Linked DNA regions of Rattus norvegicus. The protein of the gene in region 1 binds, or shares a complex with, the protein of each later gene. Links are inferred from orthologs where the notes say so. Each region holds a gene or a part of one and is shown in the gene's direction. Other genes may lie near its edges. The genes, in order: Fgfr2 and Fgf8.

Evidence for each region.
Region 2: the proteins of Fgfr2 (region 1) and Fgf8 are in contact, whole or in part, in a crystal structure (PDB 2FDB), measured with the Homo sapiens proteins. The link is inferred for Rattus norvegicus from reciprocal best matches to the Homo sapiens genes FGFR2 and FGF8. Residues at the interface, in NP_000132.3 of Homo sapiens: Glu160, Lys161, Glu163, Lys164, Leu166, His167, Ala168, Val169, Pro170, Asn173, Asp247, Val249, Arg251, Ser252, Ser282, Asp283, Ala284, Gln285, Pro286, His287, Ile288, Gln289, Ile291, His293, Leu309, Val311, Leu312, Lys313, Ala314, Ala315; in NP_149354.1 of Homo sapiens: His53, Val54, Gln57, Asp62, Leu64, Ser65, Arg66, Leu68, Ile69, Arg70, Tyr72, Tyr75, Arg77, Gly80, His82, Val106, Glu107, Thr108, Thr110, Phe111, Gly112, Ser113, Val115, Thr148, Glu149, Ile150, Val151, Leu152, Glu153, Asn154.

Annotation. Positions count from the first base shown.
Region 1 is NC_086019.1:194,274,339-194,278,141, reverse strand, and holds part of Fgfr2 (fibroblast growth factor receptor 2), read left to right. Parts: intron 1-853; exon of another isoform or gene 854-1,330; intron 1,331-1,471; 5' UTR 1,472-1,607; coding exon 1,608-1,773; intron 1,774-3,803. UniProt on the Homo sapiens protein: Tyrosine-protein kinase that acts as a cell-surface receptor for fibroblast growth factors and plays an essential role in the regulation of cell proliferation, differentiation, migration and apoptosis, and in the regulation of embryonic development.
Region 2 is NC_086019.1:254,532,710-254,536,612, reverse strand, and holds the end of Fgf8 (fibroblast growth factor 8 isoform 2 precursor), read left to right. Parts: intron 1-1,638; coding exon 1,639-1,745; intron 1,746-2,643; coding exon 2,644-2,934; 3' UTR 2,935-3,109; downstream 3,110-3,903. UniProt on the Homo sapiens protein: Plays an important role in the regulation of embryonic development, cell proliferation, cell differentiation and cell migration. Required for normal brain, eye, ear and limb development during embryogenesis.

The DNA of each region.
Region 1 (3,803 bases):
CATAAATGCGTGATCAAACACATGTGCACGTGCAGGCGTGCACAGACAGACAGACAGACAGACAGACACTCACTTTCCTGGATTTTGTTGTTAGCTATACCATTTTACCTGTGCTTAAAAGACAGAAACAAACAACAGCTTCTTATTTCCCTCTTGGAGATGGTGCATCCTCTCTGCTTTTTAATCTCAGAGAAGGGTGAAAGGAACAGATCCTAGGATAGGGAGGGCTTCAGGGAGGTTCTGGCAGTGTCGATCGAAATCCTGTGTTCTAATTGAAAGCATCAAAAGTGTGGGATTAGACACCTCTCTCTTTCTCTCTAAAACGCTCACCCATTCCCAGTCTCATAAAATGTGCACACCACAGGATCCAAAGCCCATGGCTTTGTCCGATCCTTTCCTGTTTGAGCAGATTCTCTAAGAGCTTGTGCATTCTGACTCAAGACTGAGTCACTGAAGACACTGAACAAACGTAAAGCTATTTGTACTGTGGTAAGCTTTCTTGGGAAGTTCTCTGCTTTGGATCTAATGAGTTGAGTGCCCCCTGTAACTGATACTTGGGAAGTTTAGCCAATAGGTTACATATTGAAAGTTCGCAGGCCAATCACACACCACAAACTGCTTGTACATATCATCACCGTTCCTAATAGAATCTTGAATTATTCCTCAAGGTTTGTATCTGCTCTGTATCTTTACCCCTTTGACGTACGCTGAAGGTATTTAGTTAGTATGCCTGCCTGTACACTGCCGCGTAGTCAGTGGAAGGGAATTCAGGCTTTGAATCCCCCGGTTGGATTAAACTCACTCTTTGTAAGTGGCGGCTTGGCGAAAGATTGAAATACACGCCCGCGTTTGAAAATGAATTCTGACAAGTGTAAACTGGTGGGAATTTTTTTGTAGCCTTCCTGAGATTCTTTGATTCTGTCGGTCTCCTTTTCTTTCTGAGAACCATTCTGGAGCGGGGGACATGCAGCTCGGCTCAGCTGAAATGCGGCTCTCAGAGCAAACCCTTCCTCCAGTCAGCTTCTTAAAGGCCAGCTGGAATAAGAGAAGTTAATGAGGCTGGTCGTGCCAAGCCCAGCGTTTTAAACTCGGTTTTTTTTTTTTTTTTTGTTTTTTTTGTTTTTTTTTTTGCAGTTGTCCTTGAGAGGAAGGAAGGTCAAGTTGCTTCAGCAACCTGGTGGCTTGATAGTGGATGGAGGGGCGCACTGCATGGCTGGGTGGCTGGGTCCTATAGTGATGGTTTATCTTTGTGTGTCTTAAAAGTAAGCTTTTTGAAAAGATTGGTTTACTCCAGTTTGTGGACGCCTCTGGAAACACCTGGGACGCTGAGGTGAGGATGGAAGGCTTTTCCGATAATGAGAAAAAATGTGTTTGCGAATGTATTGAGAGGCTGAGAAACGGTTTTTATCCCATCTGGGTTTAAGCTGGCTGGCACGGGGGGAGAGACTGAATCTGGCTGATTCTCTTTCAGGGGCGGCCGCAGCAGCAGCAGCAGCGACAGCAGCAGCAACAACAGCCTGAGCAAGCCACAGCAGCGCCCTGGCTCCTGAGCCCCCCGTGGGCTGAAGGCATTGCAGGTAGCCCATGGTCCCTGAAGAAGTGTGCAGATGGGATTACCGTCCACATGGAGATATGGAACAGGACCAGGGATTGGCACCGTGACCATGGTCAGCTGGGGGCGCTTCATCTGCCTGGTCTTGGTCACCATGGCAACCTTGTCCCTGGCCCGGCCCTCCTTCAGTTTAGTTGAAGATACCACTTTAGAACCAGAAGGTAAGTTCTTGCATGTCATTTTAAGGGTACCAAGTTATTTTGGGGATGTGTCTGGGGGAAGTGGTCTTTGAACGGAAGGCCTATTTCAGCCTGCTGCCTTATGAGGGTGATCTCTCTCCACATCTTCCATATCAGACCGTAGAAGGGAGGGTCTTGGCTCCCAGGCATGAGTGGAGTGGTTTGATTTGCCCTGTTCTCTGTGCTTGGGTGAGGGAGGTGGCAGCAGTTCTTTGCAGCACTCTGGAGGGGACATACCCTGGCTGGGTGACTGTGGCCTTCTGCGGTTGCTTTTTTAGATGGAGGGAAAGCCTTGAATCCACTATCTTTTGGCTAAAGGAGATAGGCAGCCTCTGAAGGCTGACGTTTTCTCGAGTTGTTTAGGAGAAACAGTGGTTCTGAAGTTGAGCACCAAGAGCCGTGCCATGCTGGATTGAGTTTTAAGCTGCTGTAAGCTTTGTGCTTACGTCCAGTATCACAGAGGGGCAGGCTTTATGCTGGGAAGATTCGAAAGTGAATTGGCCAAGAGCCTCCCCCATCCGAGGAAACGCCAGATTTCACTAGTGTTTGGCTCTGCACACTTGGTTGCAGATGAGAAATAGGCTAGTTGTGAGGAGGAGAAGATGGCTGAAAATCCTGAGCTGGGCAAAGAGCTGGTCCTTCTCCCAGGTCCTTCAGAGCCGGGGTCCATAGCCAAGCCTCTCTGCTTGGTGCAGCATGGGAATCTGTCATCGGGAAGGAATATTGGTAGGCGAGTTATTTTTTGAGTGGTAATCCGAGCGTGACACTGCAGATCGCAGCACTCATCGCCACTTAATGAACGTGTTTGCCGAGGGCCCACCTGGTGCCGGCTGGCTTTGGAGTCCGTTATGGTCCTGAGTGCTGGCGGGTCAGCTGAGTTGCTGTTGTTACACACCCTGAATCAGGGTCCTGAGGAGCAGTTCGTCCAGAGGGGGATGGTAAGGGGTGGGGACAGAAACCCCACCCCCCAAGGATGTCCCCAAGGAGGGCTTGTATCCATCTAAGAGGGGTCCCCAGTAAGATCCACTCAGGCATTCTCACTGGCTTTGTGTGAATGAGACGTGTGTGTGTGTGTGTGTGTGTGTGTGTGTGTGTGTGTGTGTGTGTGAGTGAGTGAGGTGGGGTGGGGTGGGGTGTGGGGGATGGGTAGATGGGTGGGTGGGGGGAGGGCACACAGATGCCTGAAAATGTTATAAATTGCCAGGTGTCTTTGGAAAGGAAATGTGGTAGGAGCTTGTGTTCAGGGTTCAGCATACAGCCTCACACCCATTTTTGGAATCACCTCTTTGTAACTTATCCTGTGACGTCAGGGAAAGTGTAATTTGCAACAGGGACACGTTTTTCAAAGGGTTTAATGCGAGAGGAAAGGATTGGGTTTCTGAAAGTCTGGTCTGTACTTCTTTAATTTTGCTAATAATTAAAATGGATGTTCCTCTAATTGCTGGTTTTCCCTGGAGTGTGTGGTTCAGCACAAACCGAGGAAGCTGAGCCGAGGTTTCCTACGGCGTGGGCTTCAGAAACAGCCCCGTTAGGAAAGAATTGTCATTTTTCATCTGGACTCTCGGGGCAGTGTTGCTGTGAGTTGATTTCAGTGCAGGGTATAAAATGGTCCTGGACTCCATCTAATTACCTGAGAAAGGTTACAAGGTGTTTTTATGCGCAGGGAGAAGACAGGTGGGGGAGAGGAAGGACAGTGGGCTGGAGTCCCCCAAACGGCTCTTTGTGTAAGAACTGATATCCAACAATGCTCACATTGTTGAAAGCAGGTCCTCCACCTGGGGACCTGTAGGTACATGTGAGGTTAGGGAGGAAGGCTGAGAAGCCCCAGAAGTTGTAGGTCACACTTTGCCAATGCCCCTGGGTACACTTCACTAGGTTCAGGGTTTGCATGAGATTCGAATCACAGCCAGAGTCGGGAGATGCTGAGGAGAAGGAGAGAAAGAACAGAAAACCGTCTTAAGGTGTGGAGCTTCTCCAGCGCGGGCTTGGAAAATGCAGAGAAGTCTCAGAGC
Region 2 (3,903 bases), about 60 Mb from region 1:
AGGGCAGAAGTTTGAATCTGGGCCTCCAAAAGGCCCATGAAAGAGGCATTAAGGTACACAGACTGAAGAAAGCAGAGGAGAGGTCCCAATTGCTACGTCAGGAGCCGAGAATGGGCAGAGGTACCCACTCTGCAATATGATACTCAGAGCAGGGTCCTGTAACCCCCTCTAGCCGGCATCTTTCCCTGGCCATGAAGCAATTGCTTCTTGCTTTACAAAGCAGACATGAGAGGAATCAACAGTTTGCCTGGAGAGGTGAGCAGAAGGAGAGGTAAACAGTTGTTCCTCCCAGCTGACTTTGGGGACAGACTGAGGACTTCAGCTTCTGCATCCCACTTTTGTGTCTATGTGAAATAGGCAATCAGGGGCTAGGCATTGTGAGGCCTTCCCTGGTGGTCCCTGTGCCTCCTTACCACTGGTATTGGTTGTATATAGAGAGCCACTTGTCAAGATAGGACTGCTTTCTCAAGGAGGAAAAGGTCTGGGCTTTGAGGCAGGGCAGGCAGGAGACGCAGTCTCTGCTGCTCCACCATCTAATTCAGCTCTTCCTCTCTCCTTGGGAATAGCCTCTAAGAGAGCAATTATAGGAAGAGGTGGTTGGGAGCAGCTTTTGGGGCAAGCAGGCTGTTCATGTGAACAGGAAGTAGAGGAGGGCACAGAATTCAGCCCTGAATTCTGAAAGCTTCACCTCTGAAAGCTTTGGCCAATGCCTAAGAGACCCTGCTATAATGGAGGTGAAGAGAGAAAAGACAATGATGAGTTGTCAGAGTCTGTACGTGTTGGAGCTGGACTCCAAAGATTGGCAACCTGAAGGAGAAGGGCAGGATCTGAGTCTGGTTCCAGACAGCAGGCTGCTAAAGTCTGTATAGGGAAAAGCACCCTCTTCCGCCTCTTCTCTGAGTCTCTTATTTTGAACTATATATGTATGTATGTATGGTGTGTGTGTGTGTGTGTGTGTGTGACCCCCTGGAATTAGAGTCCCAGGCAGTTGTGAGCACTGAACTTTGGCCCCCTACAGGAACAGCATGCTGGGCCATCTCTCCAGCCTCCTCTGCCATTTCTTGCAGAACAAGCCTGCCCAAGGGGTGAAGGATGGCCAGGGCTGGGAATTAGACCTGACTGGGAAGGAACAGTGGATGTTTTTACCTTTAGCTTCATGATAGGAGGTTACCACTGTTCCCAGATGTTCTTAATGATCTGTGGGGTGTGAGCTCATATTCTAGGTTGGAAGGATATTCAGAGACCTCTCAAACAGCTATGGAATCTACATAGCTTAAATTTTACTTGGCACCTCGACCTTAAAAAGAAAAGAAAAGAAAAAAGAAAAAGCTTCTAGCATGGAAAAAGGGGCTAAAGGAATGGAGATTCAATGCATCCAAACCTATCTATGAAACTTACCCTGTAAACTGTTATTTGTCCCAGACCCTTTGCAAGCCCAGAGGTGGAGTCTCAGGTCCTGAAGAGTCCATCTTCCTTAGGGCTATCCAGTGCGTCCGAAAATGGACTGGGCTGGAGCTGTGTTTTGTGTTTCTCGCCCTTGGAACGGTTGTTCCAGGGATAGGGTGCATCCCTGATAAAGCTATAGAGCACAGAGGTCACAGATCTACTGACCATCCATTCCCATAACTATCCTGACAGCAAAGCTCATTGTGGAGACCGATACTTTTGGAAGCAGAGTCCGAGTCCGCGGAGCAGAGACCGGTCTGTACATCTGCATGAACAAGAAGGGGAAGCTAATCGCCAAGGTGAGGCTCCAGAAGGGAAGTGGGGTTTGAGAGGTGGCATGGACTGACTGAGCCTCTCTAGTACACTTTAATCCCAGCAAGGTGAGTCTGGAGAGGCATGGATGGTACCTTGGTTACCTCAGGGTTTGCCTAATGATTAGACGGGAGGACTAAGAGAAAGAAACGAGAGAGAGAGAGAGAGAGAGAGAGAGAGAGAGAGAGAGAGAGAGAGAGAGAGAGACTAAAACCTATGAAGAAGATGGAGGAAGGCTAGGGAAGGGGATGGGGGTGGTGATGCAAATTCCATATATCTTTTTTACAAATCGCCAAATTGCTTTGCTATTATGTCCAATTACATGGTACCAGCATTTGGAATGTTCAGTAAGCCGCAGGCCCAGCCCCTCGGCCTAGCTCTGAAATGACCCCATTAGTCACGGCTCCTCTCCAGTCTCAAGCTCCCCACTTCCTAGGCTTCAGGGCCTGGGCCTCAGAGTCCCTCCTAGGCTTCCCCTCCCCCACATAGGGTGTCTGTCCCGGGTGAGTGGGGGGGCTGATTCTGAGTCCAGAGATGCTGGGGAGTTGGGGGGCAGGTGGAGAAACTCCCGCAACCCAGGCCAGACTGGTGGGCAGTAGGCCAGAACAGGCAGGCTTTGGGCCCCTCTGCCTCGGGCCCAGCCCCTCCGTGGAGAGCCATGTGTCACTGCTGCCCAGGAGGACAGGAAGTTGCCGGGTGGGCTGTGGGTTGTGAGGGATTAGAGAACGGGTGCCCGGGTAGGGGGTGGGGCCGGGCTCAGGCTCCCCTTGCCATCTGCTGGGGTGCCCACCTGCTGTCTGGGGCCGCTGGCCCTCTGCCTCACTAGGAGGGAGGCTCTGTAACACCTCGTCTGCCCCCTCACCCCTACCCCCCAACTACCTGCAGAGCAACGGCAAAGGCAAGGACTGCGTGTTCACGGAGATCGTGCTGGAGAACAACTACACGGCGCTGCAGAACGCCAAGTACGAGGGCTGGTACATGGCCTTTACCCGCAAGGGCCGGCCCCGCAAGGGTTCCAAGACGCGCCAGCACCAGCGCGAGGTGCACTTCATGAAGCGCCTGCCGCGGGGCCACCACACCACAGAGCAGAGCCTCCGCTTCGAGTTCCTCAACTACCCGCCCTTCACGCGCAGCCTGCGCGGCAGCCAGAGGACTTGGGCCCCGGAGCCCCGATAGGCGCTCGCCCGGCCCCTCCCTGCCTGCCTGCGGACTCCAGGGAGAGCTCGGCCGCACTGCGAAGGGGAGGAGCTGGGGAGCTGCCTTCTAGTTGTGCATATTGTTTGCTGTTGGGTTTTTTGTTTTGTTTTGTTCTGTTTTTTAAACAAAAGAGAGGCTCTATTTTTGTATTCCACTGGCTGTGGTGTCTGTCTTCTTAGCTCTCAGGAAAGCCCACTGGTGACCTAAGGCTGGGTTGCTCTGGGGCTCCCTGGGGTGGAGGGCTCTCTAGTCTGAAGTCCCAGCACTGGCAGGGCACCTGGTCAGGCCAACCAAGGCCACTCTGTACCCCAGGCAAGGGTAGGGAGAAAAAAAAAAGATTAGGCCTAGGTCAGTCCCTTGGGGTGGGTGTCAGTGAGGGGTGGTTGTGTACTGGTTACTATTAAATGACTAAAGTGTTAATTTAACTTGCATAGTAGAAGTGTGTGTTGGAGCTTGAGTCCTGCCAGGAATAGCCCCTTCCTACGGTGCTGTCCCAACTGCAGGTCCAAGGCCAACCTCCATCTAAGGAACTGTTTGCCAGCTTTCTCTTCTATTCCACTGAAAGGGTTTTGTGGGGAAGACAGCTAGGGGGCACAGAAAGATTCTGAGCTGGCCTTGGATCTCTCAGATGGGGACCACCTTGCTCTAACACTTCCCAAGCCCCAGGGCCAAAATGAAGCACATGCTGGAGTCCTCTGTGGGTGACAGGTTGGGAGCCCCTTTGGCTCTGTAGCTCTAATCTATATGAGTAACAGGACAGAGGCCATAGAACTGATTATAGTCTATAGAACCTGACTTCAAAAGCTGAAGAGCAATTACCCAGTGTCCAAGGGGTTGGGGGTAGGGAGCACTGCCTAGGCTGCTGTTGACATGGCGCTGAGTCAACTTTGGGAGAGCCAGGCCAAGGCTGTGAACAGAAAGTGCCAGGCTCAGGTGCTCCCCAAAAGC